Struthio camelus: one gene and its partners. Each later gene encodes a partner of the first gene's protein in a complex. Links are inferred from orthologs where the notes say so. Each region holds a gene or a part of one and is shown on either strand. Other genes may lie near its edges. The genes, in order: LMNA, ZMPSTE24 and BANF1.

What was found.
Region 2: the proteins of LMNA (region 1) and ZMPSTE24 are in contact, whole or in part, in a crystal structure (PDB 2YPT), measured with the Homo sapiens proteins. The link is inferred for Struthio camelus from reciprocal best matches to the Homo sapiens genes LMNA and ZMPSTE24. Residues at the interface, in NP_001393912.1 of Homo sapiens: Cys661, Ser662, Ile663, Met664; in NP_005848.2 of Homo sapiens: Ser264, Asn265, Ala266, Tyr267, Phe268, Val332, His335, His339, Glu415, Leu438, Asn439, Asn442, His459, Arg465.
Region 3: the proteins of LMNA (region 1) and BANF1 are in contact, whole or in part, in a crystal structure (PDB 6GHD), measured with the Homo sapiens proteins. The link is inferred for Struthio camelus from reciprocal best matches to the Homo sapiens genes LMNA and BANF1. Residues at the interface, in NP_001393912.1 of Homo sapiens: Ser431, Gln432, His433, Ala434, Arg435, Met540, Lys542; in NP_001137457.1 of Homo sapiens: Val11, Ala12, Glu13, Pro14, Glu83, Asp86, Ala87, Phe88.

What each region holds. Positions count from the first base shown.
Region 1 is NC_090971.1:3,832,837-3,842,811, reverse strand, and holds the start of LMNA (lamin), read right to left. Parts: upstream 4,678-9,975; 5' UTR 4,559-4,677; coding exon 3,957-4,558; intron 1-3,956.
Region 2 is NC_090964.1:2,378,297-2,388,421, reverse strand, and holds the start of ZMPSTE24 (CAAX prenyl protease 1 homolog), read right to left. Parts: upstream 3,869-10,125; 5' UTR 3,802-3,868; coding exon 3,685-3,801; intron 2,163-3,684; coding exon 2,016-2,162; intron 1-2,015. UniProt on the Homo sapiens protein: Transmembrane metalloprotease whose catalytic activity is critical for processing lamin A/LMNA on the inner nuclear membrane and clearing clogged translocons on the endoplasmic reticulum.
Region 3 is NC_090976.1:753,631-763,210, forward strand, and holds the start of BANF1 (barrier-to-autointegration factor), read left to right. Parts: upstream 1-5,109; 5' UTR 5,110-5,393; intron 5,394-7,245; 5' UTR 7,246-7,256; coding exon 7,257-7,382; intron 7,383-9,199; coding exon 9,200-9,346; 3' UTR 9,347-9,580. Other genes in the region: probable RNA-binding protein EIF1AD, read right to left, coding at 522-566, 1,744-1,852, 2,316-2,424, 4,811-4,897. UniProt on the Homo sapiens protein: Non-specific DNA-binding protein that plays key roles in mitotic nuclear reassembly, chromatin organization, DNA damage response, gene expression and intrinsic immunity against foreign DNA.

The DNA of each region.
Region 1 (9,975 bases):
CACACGCCGGCCTCCGGCGCGGCGAGACCCGCTCCCGGCGTTCGCTAGCGCCGCAGCAGATCAATGCACGTGACTGCCGCGCGGACGAGGGGCCTCCCCCCCCCCCGCAGCTGATTTAAAGGCGGAAACAGCGTTTTCAGGGAATAAATAGCGCCTTAAAAAGCCTCCCGCGCCCAGCGGCCGCCTGGGGAGCCCCCGTCCCGCTCGCTCCCCGTCCCGGCGGCTCGTGCCAGCCCCGATGACTCATCCCGCCTCGAAATGGAAATCCCAAGTCAGGGCAAGACGGGAGACGGTAGGAGGGACCCGAGAGGGGCGAAAGCAAACTCCAGCTCTCGCCTTCGGTGCCCAGAGCAGCAGCGAAGACGCGGCTCCTCCCGTTTTCCATACGTTTGGGTACGCGAAGGCGCCGGCCGGCAAAATTTGCCTGAGAAACAAAGGGAGGATTGTTGGGTGCAGCCGGCGCCGATCTCGCTGGGAACAAAAGGGTTCGCTCTCCCGGCCGCCGGAGCCGATAAAGGCAGGCGAGGTATTTACATTGCTGCAAGGCCGGCGCGCTGCGTGCGTGCGTCCGCCACCGCGGCCCGGCGGCGAGGCCCAGCGCGTCCCTGCGCAGCGCCGTTGGCTGCAAGCGCCGGGGGTTTCTCCTCTTGCTCCGCCAGCAGCCCCCGGCACCGGCTCTCTCTGCAAAGGAGGCCGCGGCGAGAGGCGGCAGCCTCGCCGCGCGCAGGCAGCGGCAGCCCAGGAGCTTTCTGCACCGCAGCAGCCCGAGCCGCGTTGCAAAAGTGGCGCCGCGTGCTGGTTGGGACACGCGGGTCGGCGGCTCTGCCCCAAAACCCCAGGGCTCTGGCTGTGCCCCGGCTTGCAAAAGCCAGCTGGGTAGCATCACGCCAGGGAGCGAATCCGCTCCCCCCGACCCTCAGCTCCCCGCCAGGGACGGCTCAGGGGCTGCGTCCCTTCCCCGGATGGGGAAACTGAGGCACGGAGGCTCCAGCCTGCAGAGGCGGCGGCAGCGCCGGCGGCAGGAAGGAAGGGGCAGCGAGCGGCATCATCGCCGGAGCCGCGCCGGGGACAGAGCATCGCCAAGCTGCTGTTCAACGAAACCCCAACGCCGGGGCAGCGCCGGGGCCCGGCGCGCCCTCGTTTTGCAGCGCCGACGCCTCTAACGCGGCAGCCCTGGACGTTAAGCAGGGTAAAGTGCAGGCTGTCGGGCGCCCGCCGCTGCTGTTAGCGGACTTTGGCCTCGCCGCTATCGCGCTTCTGGGCTCTGAACAGCTCCCGCCGCCGCAGCCCCGGCGGCCTGAGCCGCGGCACCGCGGCCCGACGGAGCCGGCGCAGGTGGGCGCCCGGCCCCGAGGCTGCACGTGATGGGCGTCGGGGTGGGGGGGGGAGGGGTCCAGCAACGAGAGGTGCAAACGGGGTGGGAAAAGCGTTTCTTGCAGGGACGGCCCCGTCCCGGCTGCTCCCCGCAGCACCCCGAGGCTTGGCGGCGGGATGCCGCCGTCCTCGCCAACGGGCGTCGAGGGAGCGCCTCCGAGCCACGGGGCTTTTCCCGCCGGGAAGGGCGAGCGTGCACCCACCGCCTCGGCGAGCTGCATACCGGCGACGGCGAGGGGAAATAAATCCGTCCTGGCTGCCGGATGCTCCAGGGCCGTGGGGGTAAAGGGGGTCCGCGAGGCGTCGGGCACCGCGGGGTCCCGGCCCAGCCCGGCGTCGCCCGCCGCCTTGCACAATCCGCTCTTTGTTCGCTCTCAAAGGGCGGATCCTTCCCCCAGCCAAACTGTTTTTCCCCCCCACCCTCCCCCGGGGAAAAATTTCCATGGGACCGGAGCGGGGACGCATCGGGAGGTGGAGGGACCATCCGGCTGGTTGAAGGTTTCCCCCCCTCCCGTGCAAAACGCCGCAGCGGAGCAAAATCCACCCGTGCGGGAATGAGATCTGGGCCCTGGGGAGGAAGAGGCGATGCCAAGCCGCCGGCTTAATCGGGTTAGGGGCTGCAGTTCAGGAAGCCGTCGCTCATCAGACGAGCTGCTAACTGGAGCCTGGTTCCTGTTTCGGCCGAGCCAGCCGGGAACGACCCCTCGCCGGCCCCGGCGGGATGCTCCGGGGGTCCCTTTGGGGCAAAACACACCAGGAGGGGGGCCGGGGGCAGAGCCGGAGCCTGCTCCGTGCACGGAGCGGCTCTTGCACCGGCACGCTGCCGTGCAGCCCGTCCCGCCGCCGTCACCGCCATGCAGCCGGCGCCCCTCTGGCCCCGGCGGGCGGGTGCCGTGCCGGCCGCGAGCCCCCCGCCCTGCCTCCTGCACCGCCGAGACAACCGGCGGCCCCGCGGCGGGCGCAGCGCTGCCGGCCGCTGATAACGCCCGGCCGGAGCCGCCTGCCGCCCGGGAGATACCCGGCGCGCTTCCGCCCGGGGTCGAGGCGTTGCAGGGGAGGTGGGGAGGGGGGGAAAAACGCGGCGGCCGGGATGTTTTTGCAAGTTATTTATGAGCTGGGCGAGGTGTTAGCGCCCGGCGCTGACCCAGGGCTTCGGGAGAGCCGGCAGGACCGGTAGGGCCCAGCCCGGCCGGATGGGAGAGGCGAGAGCGGCGCCCGGCCCCCTCCGCCGACGCCACCAGCGCCGGGCTGCGCCCGCAGCTCCCCTCCCTGTTTACCGACGCGCGTTCGACGGCCGAAAGGGTTCGGGCAACGGCGCCGAGCCGCGGCGGCCCGTTCGCGCCCCTCTGCCCCGGCCGAGCCCCCCTTCCTGCGCGATCGAAGGGGCGTCCGCCGGCCTTAGGGGACAACCGCGACGCGGGAGCGGGGAAAAGCCGTACGGTTTTTGCAAACGGCTCTGCTGTGCAAGGCCGGGCGCATATATATATATATATCTATCTTTTCCCCCCACCCCAGCCAGCGCGCAGCTCTCGAAAGATCCCGGCCGAGATAACTCGGCGTTTGCGTAAACCAGGCGTTGCCCGTCGCCTCGCCAGCTGCGGGAGGCGAGCCGGAGCGCGGCGCGGCCGGGATGCCGGCGGCGAGCCGAGCAGCGCCGCGGGCACGAGCCGGGGCGAGGGAAAACACAAAGCTAAATATAAAACGCCGCACGGTTTTGCAGAGACAGCTGCACAGGGCCGCGCAGTCGCTCGCTTCCCAGTAGGTAGGATTATTTATGGCGTGTTCCGAGCGAGTTAATTTTAGCCTCGTTAGTCCCTCGGACGGGGACTCAAAACGAGACAGCCAGCGTTCAGCTCGAGCCGGGAGGAAGAGGGGGAGACGCGCCCGCAGGTTTCTCGCCGCCGTTCCCCCGGGGGCATCGACGGACGGGCTGGCCGAGCCCCGCGCGGGCGCCCAGGCCGGGTACCGGGGAAGGGCAGGGGCGCCCGGCGGCGGGAGGGAAGGGACGCGGGCGCTGCCCGAGCATCTCCGCGGCGGTGGCAGTGGGGGGGGACCGGTCCGGCGCGGGCAGGGTTAAGGCGAGCAAAAGCAGAGCAGGTTCTTTAACAGCTGCCAAAGACAGCGGAGGAAAACAGGACGAGCCGGAGAGCTGCGTCGGCAGGACGGAGCCAGCTGGCTGGCACCGCTTCCCGGTTCGCGCCGGGCGGCGTTTAGGAATAGACGACGGATTCGGAGGGGCCGGAGCCCGGGGCTCGCGCCCCACGTCGCCCGGTCCCCGACCGAGGAGCTGAGGACGCCGCCGACCGGCTCTGCTTCCCCCCCCCGCCCGCCTCCCCCTCCAAGGGCACCCGGGCGAACATGGCGCCAGGGACGGGAGCCGGGAACGCCGGGAGAGCCGCCCCCGCCGCGGGCGCTCCTGCCCCGGCCGGGCCGCGGCTTTCCCCTTTCCCTGCCTCCTCCGCGCCGCTCCTTCCTCCCTCCCGGCTCCCGCGTCCTCGCCGCCTGCCAAGCGTGACGACAGCGGTCGTCCGGGCAGAGGCGGCGGTGGCATCGTCCCCCTCCGTCCCCGCTCCGGCACTCACCGAGCTTTCAGCTCCTTGTGCTCCTCCCGCACTTTGCTCAGCTCCAGCTGCAGCCGGGCTCTCTCCTTGGCCACCGAATCCAAGGTCTTGCGGGCGTCCGCCAGCTCCGACTCGTAGGCGGCCTTGATGCCCGAGACCTCGCGGCTCACCACCTCCTCGGACTCGGTGATGCGGAGCCGCAGGCCGGCGTTCTCCAGCTCCAGCGAGCGCACCTTGTCGATGTAGACGGCCAGGCGGTCGTTGAGCTCCTGCAGGTCCTCCTTCTCCTGCAGGCGGGTGATGCGGGTGGGCGACAGTGGCGTCCCCGCCGCCCCGCTGCGGGTGCTCCTCTTCTGCGAAGGCGTCGCCATGGCGGGGAGGGCGGGAGGGGGGGGGGGGAAACCCGGCGTCGAGGACACGGCACGCGTCCCAAGCGTCTCGGCTGCTCCGGGCTGCCCGAGTGACTTGCTTATATCCCAGCTGGGCTGCGCACTGCCAGGCGGAGCCGCGGCGAGGAGGAGGAGGAGGAGGAGGAGGGTGGAGTTATCGGCCAGCGGGGAGGAGATAGCCCCGCTTGCGTCAAGCGCCAGGGCCCCTTCCTTGGGAAAAGGCTGGGAAAGCATCCCTGGGAAAAGCGGGCCTGGGGACAGCCGGCCTCGGCCGCGGGGTGGGGGACGCTGCCGCCGCCACCGCTGCCCCACAGCGAGCTGGGTGCCAGCTCCCCCCCCCCGGCACCCAGAGCACCAGGGCACGGCAGACACAGAGCCCTGGGGCCCCAAAGCCAGCACCCCGGGGTCCCCCACGCTGCTGCAGCACCCCCAGACCTCCAAAGAGGGGGCTCAGTGCTCCCCCAGTTTCCCCAGCTCCTCCAGTCCCAGCACCAGCTTTGCCTGGTCCTCACGGTTCCTGCAGTCCTCAGCACTAGCTGCGCCCAGCTCCCAGTTGCCCCAGTTCTCCCCAGTACCAGCTGTGCCCAGTTTCTCAATTGCCCCCAGTCCCTGAGCCAGCTGCACCCAGTTTCCAGTTCCCCCAATTTCCAACACCAGCTGTGCCCAGTTGCCCCAGTTCTCCCAGTTCCCAGTGCCAGCCATTCCCCACTCCCCCAATTCCCAATCCCAGCCATTCCCCGTTCCCCCAGTTCCCGGGGCCAGCCGTCCCCCCACGTTTCTCCAGTTCCCAGCGCTGGTGATCCCAGTCGCCCCAGTTCTCCCAGTTCCCAGTCCCAGCCATTCCCCGTCCCCCCAGTTCCCGGGGCCAGCTTGGATGGGGACGGGGATGGGGACGGGGAGCCGGGCGGCGGGCGCCCGCCGCTCCCCCGGCGCGGTGCAAGGCGCTGCAGCGTGGCGCCCGCGGGGCGCAGCCCGGGCTCCCGTTGCAACGCAGCTGAACTGCCTCTAACGGGAGGGAAGCAAAGGCGCCGGCAGGCCGGGAATGACTCACGCAGCAACCGGAGCAACACACACACAAACACACACGCGCACGCACGCACACGCACACGCGTGCGCGCGCCGGCGGTGATTAATCCCCCGCCACCCCGCTCCTTGCACGGCAACGATGAGTCACGGCTGCCGGGGAGGAACGGCAGCCGGGGCGGGCGAGCGGGACGGCGAAAATCCAGCGGCCGGCTTTCAAAAAATCAGCAGCCCCGAGGCCGGCGAGGAAGGCGCCCGGGCGGAGGGCTGGCAGCGGGGCCTCGCCGTACCCCTTCCCCGTTCCCGCTCGCTGCGCGTCGGGCCGGCGAAGACCCCCGCGGAGCGGGGCGCGCGGTGCCGGGCCGGCGATGCCGTCCGCTGCCCGGCGCCGCAGCTGCCTCCCCGCTCCGGGGGCGCCTGCCCCGCTCGCTCCCTCCTCTTCCTCGCTGCATCGTGCGAGCTTTTCCCTCCCTCCCGCTGGTGCTTTTCCCTTCTCCGCCCTCGTTCTGCCTCGGCGCTCGTGCCCGGCTGCTTTTCCTCATCCCTTTCCCGGATCCGCCGGGTTGCCCGTCCGTCCCCGAGGGCCGATGCTCGCCGCCGCCGAAGGCGGGGTCTGGCCGCCGGCTCCGGCGCGCCGCCGCGGCCGAGCCAGCGCGCGGGGCACTGTGGGACGCCAACGGCCTCCTCCGCTCCGCAGCTTTGTTTTGTTTTGTTTTAAAGGAGAAAAAAAAAAAAAAAAGAAAAAGAAAAACCACGCCGGGCAGGAAGGGACAGCAGAAAAGCACTTTGCACCCTCCGCCGGCGGCGTGCATCGGCCGGCCGGGGGGGGTTAAAGCAGCCGTGCTTTAACACGGCAAAGCGCGTTTGGGAGCAAGGGACCGGCTTGAGCAATAGCTTAAAAATCACAGCTAAAGGTCACTGGCGCAGCCGGTCCCGGCAGCCCCCGGCGCAGGACCCCGCGGGCTGAGCACCCCCAGCAGCCACCGGCTCCGGCTGCTTCCCAGATGGCAGAGAGGCGTTTTTGTCATTTACGCAAGGCAGGAGGGGGGTTTAATTGGAACCAGCTGAGACGGGCGAAGCGGGGAGGACGGGCTGGGCCGGGCTCGGCCGCGCGCCTCCCTCCCCGGCTGGGGCACGGCGCAGGTCGGGGCGCAGCCCGGCGCTTGGGCCCCTCCAACGTGAATTCCTGCGGTTTGCACGAGCGAGCGCTCGGGGAGCGAAAGGCCGGGCTCCGTGGGCTTGCCGGCGCAGAGCGCGGGGGACCGGCGAGGGGCGACGGAGGGACGGGGAGGCTGCGCCCTTCGCGGAGACGCTCCCGTATCCTGCCCGGCCAGCTCCCGCGGTGACTCAGAAAGCAGAAAGCAGTCACATCCCTGGAATTTCAACCTCCTTTCAGCTTCCAAAGCTCTTTGGCCTGCAAAAAGCCCGGAAACGTCGGGTGCCTGCAAACGCCACAATGCAAACATACATGTGCACACGTGGCCAGCGATGAAGCGCGGCTGCTCCGAGGGCTGGGGGGCAGCGAGGGGAGCGGCGGGGACGGAGAGCGCGTCCGGGACAGGCGCTGCCGAGGGACGAGCCCTGCGGACGTCCCGCCACAGCCGCCCTCGCAGCCCAACCTTTCTCCTCCTCTCTCTCTCTCTCTCTCCGGTTTTGCTTCTTCCCGAGGATCCTGGGGTTTCATTTCCCAGGTTTTTACGCAGCCTGGGATCGTCTCCCGCTCTCGCAGGCCCGGAGCAACGCCGGACGGAGGCACCGTGATCCCACGGAGATGCCTTCCCGCTGTTGGGTGCTCCCCTGGCTCCTGGCCCCAGCCGGGGCGTTTCTCCAGCTGTTCCCTTTCCAAAGCAGGCACACCCTATCTCCAACACGGGGATTTTCCCTTTCCAACCCTCTCTGCTGCGCCGTTAACCCTACCTCCCCCAGGAGGGCAACATCCCGGCCCCCGAGCTTGCTCCCACGCGACGCCAGGGAGCGGAGAGCCGGCGGGCCGGCCATCCGCAGCAGGGCACGAAGCAGCGCGGTCCCGCCGCCCAAGGACGGAGGGCGCCGCGGTGGCAGACGCGTCCCCCGGCCGCCGTCCCGACCTGCCGCGTGGCACCCAGCGCCGGGCTGACCCGCGAGGCCCCGGCCGCTGGGGGCTTCCCCTCCTTCCCACCCACAGCCCACCCGCGTAAGGGGGTTTGTGCGTGCGCATAGAGGAGTTTTAATTAGCTAATAATCTTTAATAGGGTTTAATTGCCTTGTTATAAAAGGTAATTGCAGCAATACATCAATTAGAGCTGTAAAATTAATAGATTTACCAGTTGTATTTATTGAGAGAGCTGAAACTTGCAGCAAGCAGGAGCCAGGGCAGGGCCAACGATGCGCTCGGATGCGCCAGCAGGAAGGAGAGCCGCGAAGGGCGACGCGGAGCCATCCAGGAGGACTTCTGCCCGGGAACGGCGGGACACCCCGCGAGCGGCCCCGCGACGGGCCGCTGGGCGGTTAGAGCGGAGCCCACGGAGAGCCGGACGCGCCGGACAGGGCTGCGGAGCTGCAGACTGGGGCCCGCGGGGGTTCACGTCCGCCCGGGACGGCGGAGCGCGTCGCCTCCGAGCTCCCGGGACGCGAACGGCGGCGCTTGCTCAGGCTGGGGCAGACGCGCGCCCCGCAGCGACAGCCAAGGGGACGCCTGCGTCCCCCGGCAAGCCCCGTGCCTCGCTTTCGGGAGCACGAACGAACCCTGTCTGGGTGGCGGATGCGCTCTGGAGTAGCAAAAGCAATCCTAAAGTGCAAGCTCTGAAGCCCCCTTTGGCCGGGCTATAGCCGGGGGAGGCAGGGAGCACCCAGGGGTGCAGGGACTCGGGGCGCAGCAGAGAGGAGCACCCAGAGCACCAGGCAGGGCCGAAGGTGCCCCGGGCTTTCCTGCCCGCTCCACGCTCGCCGAACCCCGGAGCGCTGGTGCGGCGACGGGGCTGCCGAGCCGCGAGGATGCGGCCGCTCCAGGCAGCCCAGCGGGAAAAGCATCTGGCTGCTGGGCTGCCCTTCCCCGCCGCGGGCAGGGGTCGAAAGGAAAAGCGGCTCCAGCATCGCGCGGGCGCGTTGGGGATCGGGGCGGCGGAGGGGACCCCGGGCCCTCCTGCCCCCTCCCAGCGTTGCATCCTCTGCCCGCAGCCGCCGAGGGTCACTCCCGCGCGCGGGATCAGGCAGTTCGGCGTGCAGTCAGTAGCCCGAGCTACGCCCATGTGCACGTGCACCCTAAATACCCTGTTTCACTGCAACCGGTGAGTTTCTGAGTGCAAAATCCTGAGCGAGCCACGTTTTCTCCTCCCTGCCACCCCCCCAGCGCTGCTGGAGCCGGAGCGGGGGGGGGGGGGGGGGGTCGCGCTCGCATTTTAACGGACGTTTTTCCCTCTCTGGCTGCCCCGAGCGGGGAGCTCGGCGCAGGCAGGGAGAGCGCACACAATGAGCTGGCGCCAGCCCAGGCCGGCGTGGGGCAAAGGACGGCGGCGCGCGCGCACGCGCCGGCCCCCGGGACGTGCCCCGCGAAATGCCAGCTTGGGAGCGCCGCCGGGCTCCCCTTGGGCCGGCCGCCTCGCCGCAGCCTGGCTCTGCCCCGGCTCGGGGGGAGGCTGGAAGGAGTTCACATCCCTTGGCGCTCCCTTGCCCGGACACCTGGGGCAAACTAGGGGAACTTTAGGACTGCTCTAAATTAAACGTTTCTCGGCGCAGCGGGGAGCGGGGGGTCTCCCGCGTCGGGTGCTCCCCGGAGGCAGCAGCTCCCGGGGCCAGAGCACAGCTGGGAGGACCAGAGGCTTTGCAAGAAGAGAAGAGCTGCTAGCATGGATTTCGTTGCTCTGGTGGTATAAAAAGGCCTGGAAAACCACGTTCCTTACGATACGCCCCAGCAGGCTTGGGGCAGGGACGGGCTGGCTGCAAAGCAGGCTCTGGGCGTCGACGCCCCGGCGCTGGGGTGTCGCGGTCGGCGGCTCCCCGCGCGCTTCTCCTCCTTCTCGAGCTCCTGCAAGCCCGGACTTGAGCCGGGATGGCTCGCCGCCGCCGCCCAGCCCCAGGTAGCCCGCGGCGAGCGACGGATCCTGCGGCGGCCGCGCAGCCCAGGCCGCGGCTCGCGGAGGTTTCCCGCGGCACGCAAAACGCCGGAGCCTCCGGAGCGGCGGCCGGCCCTCGGGCGAGCGCCGCGGGCAGGATGCGGAGCTGCCAGCTCTCGTCCCCGGCCAGAGAAATCCCCGGCTGAGTCACCAGGGCGGCAGCTCATCGGCTTCCTTGCGGGGCAATGGAGGTGCCGAAGGGGATGTTTGTGCAGGACGGAGCTGGAGAAGATCCAGGACGTTCACGGTGCTCGGCCTCCCCCAGCGCCGTGCCAGGACGTGCGAAGGCCTGCAGGAAACATGGATAAAAGCCGTTGCGTCTCCAGGGCTCGCCAGCCTCGCTGCTGAGCCGGGAGCCTCCCCGGGGATCCTCGCCGGCTCCAACGCGCCGCATCCGTGGTGCTCCCAGCACCTTTTCCTTCGCGCCCGAGGAAGCCCGGAGGCGGGTGAAGACAGAATGGGCGACGGGGCCGTTTCTGCTGGGCGCCGGCTTAACTCCTGCGGTAAACCAGCAACGTGCTCGGGAAGGTCTCCGTC
Region 2 (10,125 bases), on another chromosome or scaffold:
AACATACAGGTTAGGACGCACAAAACCCATAGATCAGAAAATGCAAGAATTAAGACAGGTCACAATTCCTAAGTACTGCTTTTCTGTCATATAATTACATGACTTACACTATTTTAATATTTTCATTGTCTTTTAAAATTGACCTTTTTGCTGTCTTAAGGACATCACTGCAATAACATACTATACTCAGTAATTATATTTTTACAGTGCCAGGCATTTCAAGATTCCTTTTTCACCTAGTCGTGCTACTGATGAACAATATACTTCAGCAATAAGTCAGAAAAGGTTTCTCTTAAGACTATTTGTATATGGCACATATAAATACTTGTTCTAAGCTATGGTTCTATTTTTTCTTATATAGAAATTTTACTGCAGAGTATAACTGTTCTTACACTCAAGAAACATCTTTTGATACTTTTCCTGTTCTCACAGGTTTTCCTTTCTACCTTCTAGTTAAATGTCACCTAAAAAGAAAGAAGCTGCATCCCTTCAAACACAGAAAAAGTCTGTATTTCTAACCACTTAAAATAATTATAATGCTGCTTAATTATTTAGCAGTGGAAACGATAAAAGGTCAGCTGTGCCACTAATTTATAAAAATGTAATATACATTATAGCTGCACAGTGTGACACGACACTGCATTTCACTATTACTTCCATTTTATTGTGCATTTTTGGAGTATTTGACATGGTCTCACATTAGTATGTAGTACAATAAAATGCTTATAAAGAAGAATTTGCAGAATTTGCAGAACCTACTTAAGAAACAACACATAGTCCATCAGTGTCACTACATTTCATTTCACACATTTTCATTACGTTTCATTACATACCACAGAATCACAGAGTAGTTGCGATTCGAAGGAACCTCGTGGAGATCATCTAGTCCAACCCCCCTGCTCAAGCAGGGTCACCTAGAGCACGCTGCCCAGGACCACGTCCAGGCAGCTTTTGAATATTTCCAGAGAAGGATATTGCACAACCTCTCTGGGCAACCTGTCCCAGTGCTCAGTCACCCTCACAGTAAATAAGTTTTTCCTTCTGTTCAGACAGAACTTCCTCCATTTCAGTTTGTGCCTCTCGTCCTGTCACTGGATACCACTGAGAAGAGTCTGGCCCCATCCTCTTGGGCTTTCCTCAGATATTTAAACACACTGATAAGGTCCCCCCCGCAGCCTTCTCTTCCCCAGACTAAACAGCCCCAGCTCCCTCAGCTTTTCCTTACTCGAGAGATGCTCCAGTCCCTTCACCATCTTTGTAGCCCTTCGCTGGACTCGGCTCCAGGAGCTCCGTGCCTCTCTTGTACTGGGGAGCCCAGAACTGGACACAGTACTCCAGGTGGGGCCTCACCAGGGCTGAGGAGAGGGGCAGGATCACCTCCCTCCACCTGCTGGCAATGGTCTTCCGAATGCAGGCTGGGATCCCATTGGCCTTCTTGGCCACAAGGGCACATTGCTGGCTCAGGGTCAACTTGTTGTCCCCCAGGACTCCCAGATCCTTCTCTGCAGGGCTGCTTTCCAGCACATCACCCCGCAGCCTGTACTGGTGCCTGGAGTTATTCCTCTCCAGGGACAGGACCGTGCACTTCCCTTTATTGAACTTCGTGAGGTTACATATGCTTATTGCACATATCAACTTCAACTTTGGTCAGCTGTGGGAGTCAACTTTTCATATATCTTGTTTTCAAGATATTTTAAAATAAGACTAGCGATTATCAGTGTATTCATGCAGGCTGGGAACAGAGCAGAAAAGCAACAAATCCAGAAAGTAAGGGTTCCAAATCTTCCATTTGGACACGAGCACGCTATCTGAATAAAACTTTCTTTTATACGGCAAATACAGGCACAGACAAGAAATACAGAATCCTAAGCCTACCACATTACAGTGTTTGATGTAGTATGCCACAATGCTGGCAGTGCAGCTGCATAGGATCATTAAAAATCAAAAACTGAGTATTTCACAGGTGAACTGTATGAAAAATATAATATGAATACTGTAGCAGCTCATGTACTTACAGTGCCCTCAACCTCTGAATACAGCCCTGACCAAAAGCTGAAAGTGCTCTTGTCCAGCTGATATAGACGAGATTTTTCAAACGTTTCTGAATCCATGATCTGTCCTAATTCACATGGTACATGTGTTGTTGTTCTATACACCCGTCTCTGAAAAATAAGAAAAGAAACTTAGAAGTCCACATCCAATATTTTTAAGGGGAGAAATATGATTAACAAGTAACACATAACATGGACCCATGGGCCCCCACAGAAAGTTACAAAGTAACACACAACAAGTAAATAAATGTTTCTAAATTCTTTGCTTCTATGAAATTGCAAATATAAAACTGAAACAAGATTATTATGTTACAACCAGAAACTGAGTTGCTTACTTATTAATTTCTTTCTAATAAAAGAAGTTATTATATAAAGAGCACAGAAATTAGTTTTTTTCCCACAGGAGATAACTTACTGTGCTATGATTATGACTAAGTCAAGTTCCAGACTAAAGATCATATCCTCCCTTGTGAAGCATGAAACTTCACAGGAAAAAATATATTTATAATTTAGCTGCATAAATGAGGGGTTATTTCATTTTCAGTTGGAGAACTTCTCACCACTTTCTAATTTTAAAAGTTTAAAAGTCATTATTCCATTCACTGCCCTATCTTGTTTCAGTATTTTTATCTGTTCTTATCTTTATCCTTTCTTCTCTTCCTGAAGCTCCTACCCGCTCTGTCACCTCAAAATCCCTTTACTGGAATGGAGCATCTTGCTATGCTTCATCTCTACCAACCAACCAAGTGAAAAAGTGGACTTCTTTACAAGGAGCCTTCTCAAAAAGCCTGTGTTAAAAGCCTTCCTTGCATTTGCAGGTGCTTATCTAGCCCCAATAGCTGATGCTGCCCATAGTAATACCGGGTTGCAGCCTCACAGGGAGCTTAGCTGATCTAATTGCTCACTGCTGCCAAGGATAGGCAACACTGCTTCTTCCTCTCCTGGCAGTGTGACCCCCCCCAGCACTGTCACATCCTTCTGTGAACCCACTTAACTTGCTGAGGTGACAGCAAGTATCCCCATCATCCTGCAAAAACAAGGAGAGGATAATGTCTTCTTTCATATGAGCAAGTCAAGTCAGTTCACAAAGGACTCTGACACAGTCCAGAGCTAGGGCAGGTGCGACCATGACATCCGGCAGTGAGAGAGACAGGACTGCGCTACTGCAGATTTTATCAGCTCGCCGCCCCTGAATCCCCCCACCCTGGGGCTTCGTGATGGTCAGCCCAACGAGCGTACTGAATGATCTTTGCCCCGCACCGTGCCTGCACGATTCTTGTAATTTATACGTGAAAGTCAAATTTCACCTAGCAGACTGAAGGCAAGCAGGGGCTGACAGAACGCCCCCCAGTCCCACCCTGGCTTAGTCCGAGCCAGCGCTGCCTGCGCCAACTGTCCTGACTGGGGCAGAGCCGGGCGCTCCGCGGAGAGGCGCCAGCGCGGAGCCGGCCCCGGCCCCGGCCCCGGCCCCGGCCCCGGCCCGCCTTGGCCGCGCGGCTCCTCTCGCGGCCTCCGCCCCGCCGCCCCTCGCCGCCAGCCACGTGAGGGCGAGCCGCGGGCCCGCCCCAGCACGGCGCCCGGCGTGGCGGCTCCTCTGCCCCGCCAGGAAACCCCTTCCCCCGCTGCCGCCGACCTGCCGGTGCGCCAGAAAGGCCTCCCAGAGGTAGACGGCCCAGGAGAAGAGCAGCACGGAGCAGAAGATGCGCTTCTCGGCCGGCAGCTCGGCCCACAGCTCGCCGGACAGCGCCATGACCGGCCCGGCCAGGCCGCCTCTCCCGCGCTTCCTCCTTCCGCTGCGCGCGCTGCGGCGCCGCCTCGCGCCCGGAGGAGCTGGCGGCCGGCGGAGGCCGCGGCCGCGGCCGGGGGGAGGCTGTTTGCGCTCCGCGCTCAGCGGCAGCGAGCCCCTCTGACTGGGGGGCGGCGGCTGCGGCGCGACTCCGGGGACAGGCAGGGGCGAGGGCCCGCGGCGTGTCCGGGCCGCGGCGGCATGGCCGAGGGCAGGTCGGGCCCGCAGCGGCGGCGGCGGCCTCCTCACAGCGGCGCCAGGGCGAGCGGGGCTGGGGGGCGGGGAGGGAGGGCAAGGGCTGAGGAGAGAAAAGGAACAGAGAAGGCGCAGAGCTGGGGTAATTCACGCTCCCCCGTAGAAGGACAGCGCCGGAGCACCCTGTCAACCTGCTCCCCCTCAGGCATAGCTGTCCAGCGCCTCTGCCTTGCAACCAGGGCTCCTGCTCAGCCATAGGCTGGCCCGGGGGGCACCTCGCTCTGCCACCCTTTTTCCTTTGCCCTGGTTGTTTCTCAGAGGATAACAGGATGGTTTCCTTCGGGGGAAGCAGGTGGGGAGGTGGGTCATGGAGCAGGGGTGCAAGGAGGCAGCCAGTGATAAGCGGTGGTTGCAGCTGCCTTCCCAGAGGACTGGTAGAACTGTGTGGGGTATGTGTGGGGCTCATCAACTCAGGGAAGCAGCAGAGATACAAGGTGGCACCCCACGTACCAAGAAAGCAGGGTGACACAAGCCCACCACATCAGGTGCCTTGTCCTGGTCAGAACCCCTCAGGACCACGCCAATGGATGTACCTGTCATCTGCATTTGGAAACAGGAGCAGTGTAAGAAGAGGTTTGGCAAGCAAGTTCCCCTTGATAGTCTTGGGAAGAGCTCATTTTTCCAAGGAGCTTTCAAGTAGCCTGGTAGCAGTGGAGAGCTGGTAGTAGGATTGGGAGTCAGCAGCAGCACACAAGGTGGGGCACACAGCAGCATGTTTCAGTCTGCTGATGCTCAGGTGCAAAGATGCAGGGACTGAGCTGTGGATGCAGAGCAAACCATGGTTTCTATGCTCTCCAAAATGAGTCTCAAGCCCCACACAGAAACCCAACTGCAGCCCTGATCACAAGAAATTCTGGAGGCTGGCCAAGGCTGAAGGGGGTAGAGCAAAGAACATTAAAGTAGTACCAGAGCATGGACAAGACCAGCCAGCTGATGGTCAGTGATCCGTCCCAAAGGGAAAGGCCCTTCAAAAGTCCTGCCCAGCTTTGCAACCATTCTAGCACCCCAGTTTAACTCAGCAAAAAGGGATCAGTGGCAGAGAGGTATATATGCAGAGAGAGCAGCATGTCTGGGCCTGACTTCAACTGTGAAGCACAGCTCTTGATCCAGGTTGGAGGTAGCCACTGAGAAGGTTTCTTGGTGGGCCTCCGTGTGCAGCAGGTCTCGTGGGTCCTGAATCACAGAGAGAACATTGCCAGCGTACACCATCAGAATGCCTCTTGGTCCAGCTCTTGGAGCACCAACCCTGTCATCTTCCTCTAGAAGTGGTAGAGGAGTGGCTTGAGAGTGATGGAGTAGAGTTGGCTGGGCAAGGACAAGCTTAACACACCCTCCCAAGTGAAGCTTAGCAGCTAGGTCTGTACCCAGCTGAGCTTGCCCAAGCACTCTGCAGCAGTATACAGTGTCTGTAGGAACCCCAAAGAGTGGAGGTCAAAGCTACACACCCACAGTTTCCCCATGGGGTAGCTTTGATCCCTCCCAGTCAGGCACCTTCGAAACAAAGCAAAGAACAGAGTGACCCTACGTCCTGGGTGAAGCAACCCTCGACGAGATACAAGCTGTCCAAGATGCTCCAACCTCAGACCATCTAGGTCCGGTCAGGAGGGATCATGTTGCCTAGCATGGGTGCTAGTCACTGTGAGACAGCCTTCACAGTGATATTGTACTCTGTGCTGAGGAGCAACATTGGGTACCAGTCCTGTGGGGTGCAGAAATCCCCCTTCTTGGCACCAGTGATGCTCTATAAAGTGTAGTAAAATTCCATGTTAGTCCATTAATGTCTGGAGTGTTAGAAGGCATCTGAGGAAATCTGAGCTCTGCCATAGTGAGAGGGAGTTATACCTGTGGTGATCATTGGGGGCCTATTCCCACAGGCCTGGCAAGCGCTGGAATTGGTGGACTGAAGAGAGATGTCCACAAAAAATGCCTACTCGTTGTTTGCAATCTCCTCCAAAACCCTCAACATAGGTTAACCAGACCACAAGAAAAGCAACCACCAATTGGTGGAACCACACTTCTTCTAGGCCTGGTATCAGGGCATAGACATTAATCAGGTTAACAAGCAAGTCCTTCACACAGTCCTAAAGATGCAGCAGGTGATCTGGCACAACCTTGGCAACCCAAAGGACCATGGTGACCATCCTGCAGGAGCATGGCAGAATATCCTCCCTCCTGAAAGGAGGATTCCCCAAGGCTCCAGAGAAAACTCACCCTACAGTTTAGCAATGCTTATTCTGAGGTGTTTCTGAGGACTTCAGGGGCAGTGCTGCCACTTGTACCAGCAGGGGCATGGAGTGACTTGTACTCATTGCAGATGAGGAGAGGTATATAGTAGCTGTACGTTTTCTTCTTTACCTAGTTTTGCTCCTCCTGCAAATGTACAAATATGAAAACACTCAGTGTTTCTGGGTTTTATTATGACACATGCACATCTCTCCCAGTGAAATTGATATGACGCTCTATCCATTGTATTGCTGGCTTCAAATTCAGATCCGTTGGAATCACAACATATTTTTCCTGATGCTCTGTTTACCCAGCATGAATCTGAAATCCCACCCTGTCTCCCAAATGCTTTTTAGCTGGGTCCATCTGATAACACGCACACACACACGCACAAATTCTGCCACTCTTTCCTGTTTGGTAGTTCCTGCTGCTGCTACTCAGAAATCCTTATCTGTGGATAAGGATTATCTGCTACTCAGAAATCCTTATCCTTACATCTGCCATTCTTCCCAGTATCACATAACATGGGCTTACATGCTAGAGCTGAATCACCTTTCCCGAACAGGATAACCCTCTTTTTTTTTATTAATTCTCCCTCTTGCCTCCATGTTCAGTAGGAAAATCAAGAATTTCAGCAGAAGACCTTAGGTAAGCAAGGAGTTTCTTAGTGTTTCTTAGTGACCTAAGGAAGCATAGGAAGTAAAAGGAAGCATACAGGAAGTCAAACAAGGACAGGCAATAAAGGAGGTATTTAAAAACATTACTCAGGCATGTAGGGACAAAATCAGGATGGCCTAACACCAGCTGGAGCTAAAATCAATTAGGGACATTAGATGTAACAATAAAGGATTCTACTAGTATGCTAACTGCAAAAGGAAGTTTTGGGAAAACGTGGGTGTGTTGATCCATGAGGGATGATGATATGGAAAAGGCTGAAGTGCTCAGTATCTTGTTTTCTATCAGTTTTCACAAAGCCTGCTCCCTGATCTCTGCATCTACTGGCAGTTTGGGAAGGAAAGGGGCATCTGACAGTGGGGGAATAACAGGTTAGAGACTGTGCAGAGAAGCTGAATGTGTTCAGCTCCATGGGGCCAGATGGGAGTAAGCTGAGGGTGCTGAAAAAACCCAGCCCCTATCACTGTGAGGCCACAGTCTACCATACATGAAAAACGGTGGGGAGTGATCCTTGATGATTTGAAAAAGACAAATCTTTGGGTTAGACCCATCTTTGAAAAAGGCAAGAAAAACTTTGGCTGGAAAGTTCATAGCATCCTTTTGGAATCCATTTCTGAGCATGTGAAGGACAAGAAGGTAATCAGAAACAGCACAGACTTAATAAGCGCAAAACATACTTAACCAAGCTGATTACCTTCTGTGATGAAATGACTGGGCTATATGCACAGGGAGAGAGCAGTGAATATAATATACCTTGACTTTAATCTCCTATAGCATTCCCAGCCATATAGCTGGGTGAACAGTCCATAAGATATGTTGAAATTGTCTGGAGCACATGGCTTAAAGGATAGCGAGCAATAGCTTGACATCCAGCTGGCAGCCAGTAATGAGCAGAGTACCTCAGAGGTTGATACTGTGATAATTCATAGGATAACTCAGAGTGGAAGGGACCTCAGGAGGTCTCTAGTCCAAGCTCCTGCTTAGAGCTTTATCCAGTCTGGTCTCAAAAACCTCCAAGGATGGAACATCTTCATCAGTGACCTGGGTGATGACACCAAACGTGCCTTCAGCAAATGTGCAGGCAACACTAAACCAAATGGAGTGGCTGAAGTGGTAAATGACAGAACTTCAGTCTAGAGGGTCCTTGACAAACTTGAGATTTGGGCCAACAGAAACCTCATGGAGGGTCAATAATAGGAAATGTGCACAGTTCTTCACCTGAGGCAGAATGACTCCATGCACCGGTCCACGCTGACCAGGCTGTTGGAAAAGACCTGAAGCATCATGTTAGATGCCAGGTTGAATACAAGTCAACAATACACTCTGGTCTTGATTAAGGCTAACTACATCCTAGAGGGAGTGCAGCCAGTAGATTGAGACGATTTTATCCCCTTCTACCTAGTCCTGGGGATGGCACATGTTCTGGGTCCAGTTTTGGGCTCCCTTTCAAGAAGGATGGGGTCCAGTGAAAAGCTACAAAGACAGTACCTTTTGCTGAGTGTTCTCTCTGCAACATTCTGGGTATTGATGAACATGTCAAACAATACAGGCTCCTTTTTCATCCCCTGACGTACTCTGCTTGTTACTGTCTGCCAATTGCTCACTACTTTTTTGAGCACATGTTCTACAAGGAGAGGCTGAGGGAGCTGAGCTTGTTTTGTCTGGTAAAGAAAAGGCTAAGGAGCAAGCTCATAGCTACCTGCAACTATTTGAAAGGTAACTACAAGATGGTGAAGCCAAGCTTCTTGGTAACACCCAATGATGTAAGAAGGGGCCAGTGGCATGGGAGGCTCAGCCTGGGACAGGTCAGTAGGGAAGCGTGCGTAGAATCTCCATCCTTTGAAGTTTTCAAGATGTGCCTAGACAAAGCCATAGGTGCTCTAGTGTTGACAGTAGTTCTGCTCTGAGTGGGAGGTTGGACTAGAGCCTCTGCTGTTTCTATCCACACCCTTCGGCCCCTCCCTTATGCAACTTATGGTGCTCTTCTGACTCAACTTGGTAACTGGGCAGAAAGCTACTGACCATTTTGTCAGAGAGCAGAGAAAGAAACTTTCCTTTTCAAGAGCCTTCAGTGGCTAGATTGACTCCAGCCACATCACAGGACATCTGCTGGAAAGCCCTTGTCAATACCAAATCTATCACATGACTGTCACCTCTTTACCCCCTTGCTCTGTACCAGAGCTGTTCTCTGTTAAGTGTTTCTCCTTGCCTCAGAATAAACTCCTGACTTTCACACAGCTCCTTCGCTGTGATTTTAATATAGAGCCTGAAGAAAGATCCTATACTATTGGATACAATTCTCACTACTGAAATCAGCCACCTCCATCCAGTCCTTTCACAAGCTCGCAGAGATCTATTTCCTCACTGCTCCTACAGAAAAGCTGTCCCAGAACTGCTCTGTTCTAATAATTTGCAACTTGTTTCTGATTTCCAGTAAAGAGTTCCTGCTAATTTTCTCTTTGCCAATGTTCTTTGTGAGCTCAAATAGCTTTTTTGTAATATCTGAGAGGAAGATAGGAGGGGCACTCCTAACTGCATACATTTGCTAACCAATCCAAGAGCCATTAGTTTCCCTTCACACACTAGACTTTTCATCCCCCAGATACTGCAAACTGTACACAATCCGTGTCATCTTTCTTCAGTACAAGTGACCCAGACTGCACACAATAACAAAGATAAAGCTTCCCTATTATTTGACAGTGGTCTTTCACAGCAACACTAAAAATGAATTGCAAAAATTAACTTTGACAATTAAAATTGTCCAAAGTAGTATTTGACCATTTTTCTCCTCTGGAATATATTGCAGGCTGCCCCTTAACTGTCTCCTAACAGCTGCTTTTTTTTTTTTCCCTTGCAATGCAGTATTGTTGCTTCAAATTTGACAGGAGGAAGTTCTGTCATATCCATCATGAAATCAAGCAAGTCTGCACAACACATGCTCCACGACCTCATTTGTTTGGCTGCTTGTTCTGTGACTCTCCGTTGCAGACAGACGGATGTTGTTGTAGGGGAGTTCCCTGTATAGCATATAGATTCTTTCTCTTGAAAATACAGAGAAGAATTCAAGGTAACTGTCCCCTTGCTGGTCAAGCTACTGGACACCTGTCATGGGGACAACAACTGCTACTGGACCAT
Region 3 (9,580 bases), on another chromosome or scaffold:
CTATGCTAATACCCCCCCCGGCTGTTATCGCCCGTGTGGGGGTCCAACACCCCCCCCCCGTTAATACTCACACTAATACTCTGTTCATGCTGCAGTGACGTTACCCTGTTACTACCCCGTCGTTACTCCCCTGTAACCACCCCGTTACCGCCTGTGTTAACGGAGGGCGGCGTTGACGGGGTGGTTACGGCGGTAGCGACGGGGTATTAACGCAGAGTAACGCTAACAGTGTCAGCAGGGTGTTAACGCAGGCTAGCGCGAAGGGGGGGTATTAACACCCGTTGTTACTCCCGTGTTAGTACCCCGTTAACGCCCCCACTGGTGTTGCCGTGTGTTAATGCCCCGTTGTTGCCCCCGTTAACACCCGCTTCACGTTACCCCACGTCAGCGCCGCGTTATTACCCCCGTTAGCGCCACGCTGTTACTGCCCCCGTTAACGTTACCCCGGGGTAATACCCCATTAATCCCCCCCCATTAATACCCCATTAATACCCCCCCCCCCCCATTAATACCCCACTCACCCTGGCTGGGGGCTCTGTTCGTCCCGGGGGGTGAAGGCCTCAGGCCTGGGGGGGGGGGGAGACAAAGGGATTAGGGGGGTCCCGAGGGGGGTTGGGGTGTCCTGGGGGGGCTTCTGGGGTGACTTTGGAGGTTCTCGGGGTCCCCAGGAGGATTCTGGGCCTCCCCAGGCTGATTTCGGGGGTTCCCCCTGAGCAGGGTTGGGGGGGTTCCCAAGGGAATTTGGGGGTCCTGGAGGGGGGGGTGTTGGGGAGGGGTCCCTGAGAGGTTTTGGGGATCCCTAAGGAAGGTTTGGGGGGTCCTGGGCAGGGCTTGGGGGGTCCCAGGGGCTTGAGGGGTTCCCAAGGGATTTTGGGGGTCCTGGAGGAGGAGGTGTTGGGGAGGGGACCCTGAGAGGTTTTGGGGATGCCTAAGGAAGGTTTGGGGGGTCCTGGGCAGGGCTTGGGGGGTCCCAGGGGTTTGGGGGGTCCTGGGCAGGGGTTGGGGGGTTCCAGGGGGTTTGAGGGGTTCCCAAGGGATTTTGGGGGTCCTGGGGGGGGTGTTGGGGAGGGGACCCTGAGAGGTTTTGGGGATGCCTAAGGAAGGTTTGGGGGGTCCTGGGCAGGGCTTGGGGGGTCCCAGGGGTTTGGGGGGTCCTGGGCAGGGGTTGGGGGGTCCCAGGGGGTTTGAGGGGTTCCCAAGGGATTTTGGGGGTCCTGGGGGGGGTGTTGGGGAGGGGACCCTGAGAGGTTTTGGGGATGCCTAAGGAAGGTTTGGGGGGTCCTGGGCAGGGCTTGGGGGGGTCCCAGGGGCTTGAGGGGTTCCCAAGGGATTTTGGGGGTCCTGGAGGGGGGGGGTGTTGGGGAGGGGACCCTGAGAGGTTTTGGGGATCCCTAAGGAAGGTTTGGGGGGTCCTGGGCAGGGCTTGGGGGGTCCCAGGGGGTTTGAGGGGTTCCCAAGGGATTTTGGGGGTCCTGGAGGGGGGGGGTGTGGGGAGGGGTCCCTGAGAGGTTTTGGGGATCCCTAAGGAAGGTTTGGGGGGTCCTGGGCAGGGCTTGGGGGGGTCCTAGCAGGTCTGGGAGATTCCCAAGGGATTTTAGAAGTCCCGGGGGGGGTTAGGGGGTGACTGAGAAGTTTTGGGGGGTCCCCAGGGGGGTTGGGGGTCCTGGGGGGGGTTAGGGGGTGACTGAGAAGTTTTGGGGGGTCCCCAGGGGGGTTGGGGGTCCCGGGGGGGGGGGCAGGTACCAGAGCCCCTGGCGCTGCAGGAAGCGGACGTGGTCGCGGAAGAGGACGAGGCGCATCTCGGCCTTCACCTTCTCGCCCTCCTCGATGGGGTCCACCAGCAGGAAGTCACCTGCGGGGGGGGGGGGGCAAGAGGGGACACGTTGGGGACACGCCGGGGCCGCGAGGGGAGGCGTTGGGGGGACACGTCGGGACCACGCTGGGGTGGCGTGACCAGGACAGCATCCCTTGGGGACGCGCCGCGGTGACAAAGCCAGGAGGTGACACACTGGGGACGCGTCGGGGACGTATCGGGGGGGGGCACGGCAGGAGCAGATACGTTGGGGACGCGTTGGAGACAGAGGAGCGCAAGGTGACCCGCGGCGGGTGACGGAGCCAGGAGGGGACACCTTGGGGACACGCCGGGGCCACCCGGGGCGGGAGGTGACACGGCGGGGACGCAGCGGCGGAGGCGCGCGGGCGCGAAGGGCCGCGTTGAGCTGCGCGGGCGCGAAGGGACCGGGCCGGGGAGCGCGTAGGGGGCCGGGTGGCTGCGAGGGGACGCGTTGGGGACGCGTCGGGGACGCGTTGGGGACCTCTCTTGATCCAGATGTGGCGGCGGAACTTGGGCGGCATGCTGACGAGGAAGCGGGCGCCCTCGGCCGTCTCCACCTCGTGCAGGTTGTTCCCCGGCGTCCCCAGCACCTGGGGAGGGGGGGGGGGACACGTCGGGGACCGCAGCGTCCCCCAGACCCCCTCCGTGTCCCCTGGGTGGCCCCTTGTCCCTCCTGTGCCCCCTCCTCCATGTCCCTGGGTGTCCCCAGGTGGTCTTTCCCCACCACCACCAAATGTCCCTGTGTCCCCATGTCCCCCCTGGGTGTCCCCGTCCCTCCTGGGTCCCTGGGTTCCCCCCCCCAGGTGTCCCTGTCCCCATGTCTCTCCGTGCCCCCCATGTCCCCCCCGGGTCCCCCCTGACTCTCCTGGGTCCCTGTGTCCCCCCCCCAGGTGTCCCTGGGGTGCCCCCCCCATGTTCCCTCTGGGTCCCCCTGACTCTCCTGGGTCCCTGTGTCCCCCCCCAAGGTGTCCTTGTCCCCATGTCTCTCTGTGCCCCCCCCGGGTCCCCCTGACTCTCCTGGGTCCCTGTGTCCCCCCCCCCAGGTGTCCCTGTCCCCATGTCTCTCCGTGCCCCCCATGTCCCCCCCGGGTCCCCCCTGACTCTCCTGGGTCCCTGTGTCCCCCCCCCCCAGGTGTCCCTGGGGTGCCCCCCCCATGTTCCCTCTGGGTCCCCCTGACTCTCCTGGGTCCCTGTGTCCCCCCCCCAAGGTGTCCTTGTCCCCATGTCTCTCCGTGCCCCCCATGCCCCCCCCGGGTCCCCCTGACTCTCCTGGGTCCCTGTGTCCCCCCCCCCCCCAAGGTGTCCCTGTCCCCATGTCTCTCTGTGCCCCCCCATGTCCCCCCTGGGTCCCCCCTGACTCTCCTGGGTCCCTGTGTCCCCCCCCCCAAGGTGTCCCTGTCCCCATGTCTCTCCGTGCCCCCCATGTCCCCCCTGGGTCCCCCCTGACTCTCCTGGGTCCCTGTGTCCCCCCCCCCAGGTGTCCCTGGGGTGCCCCCCCACGTCCCCCCTGGGTCCCCCTGACTCTCCTGGGTCCCTGTGTCCCCCCGCCCAAGGTGTCCCTGTCCCCATGTCTCTCTGTGCCCCCCCATGTCCCCCCTGGGTCCCCCTGACTCTCCTGGGTCCCTGTGTCCCCCCCCCAGGTGTCCCTGGGGTGCCCCCCCACGTCCCCCCTGGGTCCCCCTGACTCTCCTGGGTCCCTGTGTCCCCCCGCCCAAGGTGTCCCTGTCCCCATGTCTCTCTGTGCCCCCCCATGTCCCCCCTGGGTCCCCCTGACTCTCCTGGGTCCCTGTGTCCCCCCCCCAACCCCCACCCACGGTGTCCCTGCCCCCAGGTGCCCCCCCCCAAGTGTCCCCATGTCCTTTTTGTTGCTCTACCACATCCCTGGGTCCTCTTGTGTCCCCAAGTCCCCTAATATCCCCGGGTCCCCTCGTGTCCCCCCCCCCAGGTGCCCCCATTCCCCCCCCCAGGTCCCCTCATGTCCCCTCTCAAGACCCCCCCCCGTCTCCCCATCTCCCGTGTGTCCCCGCTGCGTGTCCCCACCCCCCCGTGTCCCTGTGTCCCCTTGTGTTCTCCTGCGTGTCCCCCATGCCGTGTCCCCCCATGTCCCCCCGGGTCCCCCCACCGTGTCCCTGTGTCCTGCCATGTCCCCTTGTGTGCTCCTCTGTGTCCCCAACACCCCCAGGTCCCCCTGGCCCCCCCCGGGTGTCCCCACCCCAGGTCCCCCCAGGTGTCCCCATCCTCCCCGTGTCCCCATGTCCCTGGGTCCCCTCGTGTCCCCCCCCCCCGGGTCCCCCCATGTCCTCACCCCGTGTCCTGCCGTGGCCCCAGGTCCCCCCGTGTCCCCTCCCGTGTCCCTTCGTGTCCTCATCCTCCCATATCCTGCCGTGTCCCCCCCCGTCCCGCCTTGTCCGTCCCCATGTCCTCACCCCCCCCCATGTCCCGCCCTGTCCCCCCAGGTCCCCTGGTGTCCTCACCCCCCGGGTCCCCCCGTCCCCCCCCGTGTCCCCCTATGTCCCACCGTGTCCCCCCCAGGTCCCCTCGTGTCCCTCCGGTGTCCCCACCCCCCCGGGTCCCCTGGTGTCCCCCCATGTCCTCACCCCCCCCCCGTGTCCCCCCATGTCCTCACCCCCCCCGTGTCCCCCCGGGTCCCCCCGGGTCCCCCTATGTCCCACCGTGTCCCCCCCCGTGTCCTCATCCCCCTGTGTCCCCCCAGGTCCCCCTATGTCGCCCTGGGTCCCCCCGTGTCCTCACCCCCCGGGTCCCCCTATGTCCCCCCGGGTCCCCGTGTCCCCCCCCGTGTCCTCACCCCCCCGGGTCTCCCTATGTCCCCCCGGGTCCCCCCGGGTCCCCGTGTCCCCCCCCGTGTCCTCACCCCCCGGGTCCCCCTATGTCCCCCCGGGTCCCCCCGGATCCCCGTGTCCCTCCCCGTGTCCCCACCCCCCCGGGTCCCCCCGGGTCCCCCCCCCCCCCGCTCACCCGCACGATGCGCTGTCGCGGCGACGGCACCACCCGCTCGTCCAGCACCTCCCGCGCCACGTGCTTCCGCTTGGTGGCCTGCGACATGCCGGACGCCTGGGCCCGCCGGGACGCCTGGGTCCCTCCTCTGTCCCCCTCCCCCGCCCCAGTAGCGGCGGGGGGGCCCAGGCGTCCGGGCTGCCCCCCTCCCGCCGCGCCCCGCCGCTTCCCACCTCTCACCGCATGGGAGTCCGCCACTTCCGGGTGCACCGCCCTCTGGCGTCACTTCCGGAGACACCGGCTCCTCCCCCCCGGTCCTCCTCTCTATGGTGGTTTCTGACAGGCCGCTGCGTCTCGCCGCGGGAACCTCCCGCGGGCTAGAGCGGCGCCGCGCACCACAGAGTCGCGGCGCCGTCGCCCTAGAGCGCCCGCGGCGACCGCGTTGCTAGGCAGCCGCCGCCTCTCTATGGTCGCTTCCGGGCGCGCCTAGAGCGGTCGCCGGCGGCGGGTGCACTTCCGGCGTGGCCGGAAGTGACGGCAGCGCGCAGGCGCGCGCAGCGGCCAGTTGGGCGGGAGCGGCGGTTGACAGCGGCGGGCGGCGCCGGTGAGGGCGGGGGGGGGTCCGGAGGCTCCCTGGGGGGGGTCTTTAGGGCTTGGGAGGTGCGTGTGGGGAGCTGGGGAGGGCTCTGGGGCTGTAGGGGGCTCTGGAGGGTCCTTGGAGGGGTCTATGGGGCTGAGGGAGCTTAGGGGGTCTTTGGGGGGGGTCTATGGGGTTGAGGGGGCTCTGGGGGTCCTTAGGGGGGGTCTATGGGGCTGTAGGGGGCTCTGGGGGGTCCTTAGGGGGGTCTAATGGGGCTGAGGGAGCTCTGAGGGGTCCTTGGGGGGATCTATGGGGCTGAGAGAGCTCTGGGAGGTCCTTGGGGTGGTCTATGGGGGTTGAGGGGGCTCTGGGGTGTTCTTAGGGGGTCTATGGGGCTTTGGGGGGTTCTGGGGGGTGCTTAGGGAGGGTCTATGGGGCTGGAGGAGGCTCTGGAGGGTCCTTAGGGGGATCTATGGGGCTGGAGGGGGACCTGGGGGGTGCTTAGGGGGTTCTATGGGGTTGAGGGGGCTCTGGGGGTGCTTAGGGGGGTCTATGGGGCTGGAGGGGGCTCTGGAGGGTCCTTAGGGGGATCTATGGGGCTGGAGGGGGACCTGGGGGGTGCTTAGGGGGTTCTATGGGGCTGAGGGGGCTCTGGGGGTGCTTAGGGGGGTCTATGGGGCTGGAGGGGGCTCTGGAGGGTCCTTAGGGGGATCTATGGGGCTGGAGGGGGACCTGGGGGGTGCTTAGGGGGGTTCTATGGGGTTGAGGGGGCTCTGGGGGATTCTTGGGGGGGTCTATGGGGTTGAGGGGGCTCTGGGGGTGCTTAGGGGGGTTCTATGGGGTTGAGGGGGCTCTGGGGGTGCTTAGGGGGGTCTATGGGGCTGGAGGGGGCTCTGGAGGGTCCTTAGGGGGGTCTATGGGGCTTTGGGGGGCTCTGGGGGGTGCCTAGGGAGGTCTGGGGGGCTGTAGGGGGCTCTGGAGGGTCCTTGGGGGGGTGTGGGGCTATAGGGGGCTCTGGAGGGTCCTTGAGGGGGTCTATGGGGCTGAGGAATCTCTGAGTGGTCTTTTGGGGGGGGTCAATGGGGCTAGAGGAGGCTCTGGGCGGTGCTTAGGGGGGTCTGTGGGGCTGAGGGGGCTCTGGGGTGTCTTTAGGGGGTCAATGGGGCTGGAAGGGGCTCTGGGGGGTCCTTAGGGGGATCTATGGGGTTGAGGGGGCTCTGGGGGGTTCTTGGGGGGGTCTATGAGGCTGGAGGGGGTTCTCGGGGGTCTTTGGGGGGGTCTGTGGGGGTCTATGGTGATTGCGGAAGCCTATGGGGCTGTGGGGGACTTCTTGGGGGCGGTCTGTGGGGCTGGAGGGGTTGTAGGGCAGTTTTTGGGGTGTCTATGGGTCCGGGGGGGCTCTGGGGGTCTTTGGGGGGTCTCTGGGGCTTGAGGGGGCTCTTGGGGGGGTCCCATGGGTTTCGGGGGGCTCCCAGGGAGTCTCGGGGGGGGCTGTTTGTGCCCCCCCCCCGGGGCCCCTGCTGCAGCTGCGCTGGGGTATTTATAGCCGGGGGAGGGGCGGGATCGCCTGGGCCCCTGCTGGGGGGGGGGAGGGTCAGGATCGCCTGGGCCCCTGCACGGGGTGGGGGGGGGGGAGAGGGGACAACGCTGCCTCCTCCAGCCCCGGGGGCACCTTTGTCCCCCCCCCCGGGGCTGCCGCTGTCCCCACATTGTCCCCCCCCCCCCCCCCGAGCTGCCCGGTCCCTGTCACCATCCGCGTCCCCGCGTCACCCCCCCCCCCCCGCGGTCTGTCCCCGTCGCTCCTGGGGGCCGTCCCATCCCCCCCCCCCCGTCCCCAACGCGGTGGCACCGTCTGTGTCCCCCCCCCCGCCGGCAGGGCGAGCCGAGATGTCCTCGACGTCGCAGAAGCACCGGGACTTCGTGGCGGAGCCCATGGGCGAGAAGCCGGTGGGGACGCTGGCCGGCATCGGGGACGTGCTGGGCAAGAAGCTGGAGGAGAAGGGCTTCGACAAGGTGGGGACACCCTGGGGACACCGCGGGGACACCCTGGGGACACCACGGGGACCGTGGGGGGTGGCTGTGGGGTTGGGGACACCGCTGGGGACGCTGGCCGGCATCGGGGACGTGCTGGGCAAGAAGCTGGAGGAGAAGGGCTTCGACAAGGTGGGGACACCGCGGGGACACCCTGGGGACACCACGGGGACCGTGGGGGGCGGCTGTGGGGTTGGGGACACCGCTGGGGACGCTGGCCGGCATCGGGGACGTGCTGGGCAAGAAGCTGGAGGAGAAGGGCTTCGACAAGGTGGGGACACCGCGGGGACACCCTGGGGACACCACGGGGACCGTGGGGGGTGGCTGTGGGGTTGGGGACACCGCTGGGGACGCTGGCCGGCATCGGGGACGTGCTGGGCAAGAAGCTGGAGGAGAAGGGCTTCGACAAGGTGGGGACACCGCGGGGACGCCCTGGGGACACCGCGGGGACACCCTGGGGACACCACGGGGACCGTGGGGGGCGGCTGTGGGGTTGGGGACACCGCTGGGGACGCTGGCCGGCATCGGGGACGTGCTGGGCAAGAAGCTGGAGGAGAAGGGCTTCGACAAGGTGGGGACACCGCGGGGACACCCTGGGGACACCACGGGGACCGTGGGGGGTGGCTGTGGGGTTGGGGACACCGCTGGGGACGCTGGCCGGCATCGGGGACGTGCTGGGCAAGAAGCTGGAGGAGAAGGGCTTCGACAAGGTGGGGACACCCTGGGGACACCGCGGGGACACCCTGGGGACACCACGGGGACCGTGGGGGGCGGCTGTGGGGTTGGGGACACCGCTGGGGACGCTGGCCGGCATCGGGGACGTGCTGGGCAAGAAGTTGGAGGAGAAGGACTTCAACAAGGTGGGGACACCGCGGGGCCACCCTGGGGACACCACGGGGACGCCCTTGGGGCCACTGTGGGGACGCAGAGGTGGGGACACCGCAGGGCCACCCTGGGGTCACCCTCGGGGCCACTGCGAGGACATCGGGGACATTGCAGAGACGTGGGGGGGGGTGAGGTTGGGGACACCAGTGGGGGACGTTGGCTGCTATTGGGGACGCGCGAGGCGCGGAGGGGTGTCCTGAGCGTCAGAGGGTCCCCAGGGTGTCCCTGGGGGCTGTCAGGGTGTCCCCAAGATGTCTTTGGGGTGTCAGGGTGTCCCTGGGGGGGGCGTCGGGGTGTTCCCAGGGGGTGTCGGGGTGTCCCTAGCGTGTCAGGGTGTCCCCAGGGGGTGTTGAGGTGTCCCTAGCATGTCAGGGTGTCCCCAGGCGGTGTCCCCAGGGGGTGTCGGGGTGTCCCTAGCGTGTTGGGGTGTCCCCAGGGGGTGTCAAAGTGTTCCTAGCGTGCCGGGGTGTCCCCAGGGTGTCCCCAGGGGGTGTCGAAGTGTCCCTAGCATGCCGGGGTGTCCCCAGGGGGTGTCGGGGTGTCCCCAGGGGGTGTTTAAGTGTCCCTAGCATGCCGGGGTGTCCCCAGGGGGTGTCGGGGTGTCCCCAGGGGTGTCAGGGTGTCCCCAGGGTGTCCCCAGGGGGTGTCAGGGTGTCCCCAGGGGGTGTCAAGGTGTCCCTAGCATGCCGGGGTGTCCCCAGGGGGTGTCGGGGTGTCCCCAGGGGGTGTCAAAGTGTCCCTAGCATGTCGGGGTGTCCCCAGGAGGTGTCGGGGTGTCCCCAGGGGGTGTCGGGGTGTCCCCAAGGGGTGTCAAGGTGTCCCTAGCACGCCGGGGTGTCCCCAGGGGGTGTCCCCAGGGTGTCCCCAAGAGGCAGGGTGCCCCCCGCCCGTGACGCCTGTCCCCCCCCCGCCAGGCCTACGTGGTGCTGGGCCAGTTCCTGGTGCTCAAGAAGGACGAGGAGCTTTTCCGCGAGTGGCTCAAGGACACGTGCGGCGCCAACGCCAAGCAGTCGCGCGACTGCTCGGGCTGCCTGCGCGAGTGGTGCGACGCCTTCCTCTGAGCCCCCCCAAGCCCCCCGAAACCTCCCCCCTGCTGCCCCCCCCACCCCGGGGCTCCCCCCCAAACCTCCCCCCCGGGGCCCCCGAACCTCCTCCCAGGTGCCCGCAGATCTCCCCGAAAGCCACTCTGGGAGTCTCGCTGTCCCTCTCCGGAGCAGACGGGATGCCCCAAAACGTTATTGGGGACCCCAGAAGTCTCTTGGGGTCCCCAAAAGTCTCCTGGGGACCCCAAAAGC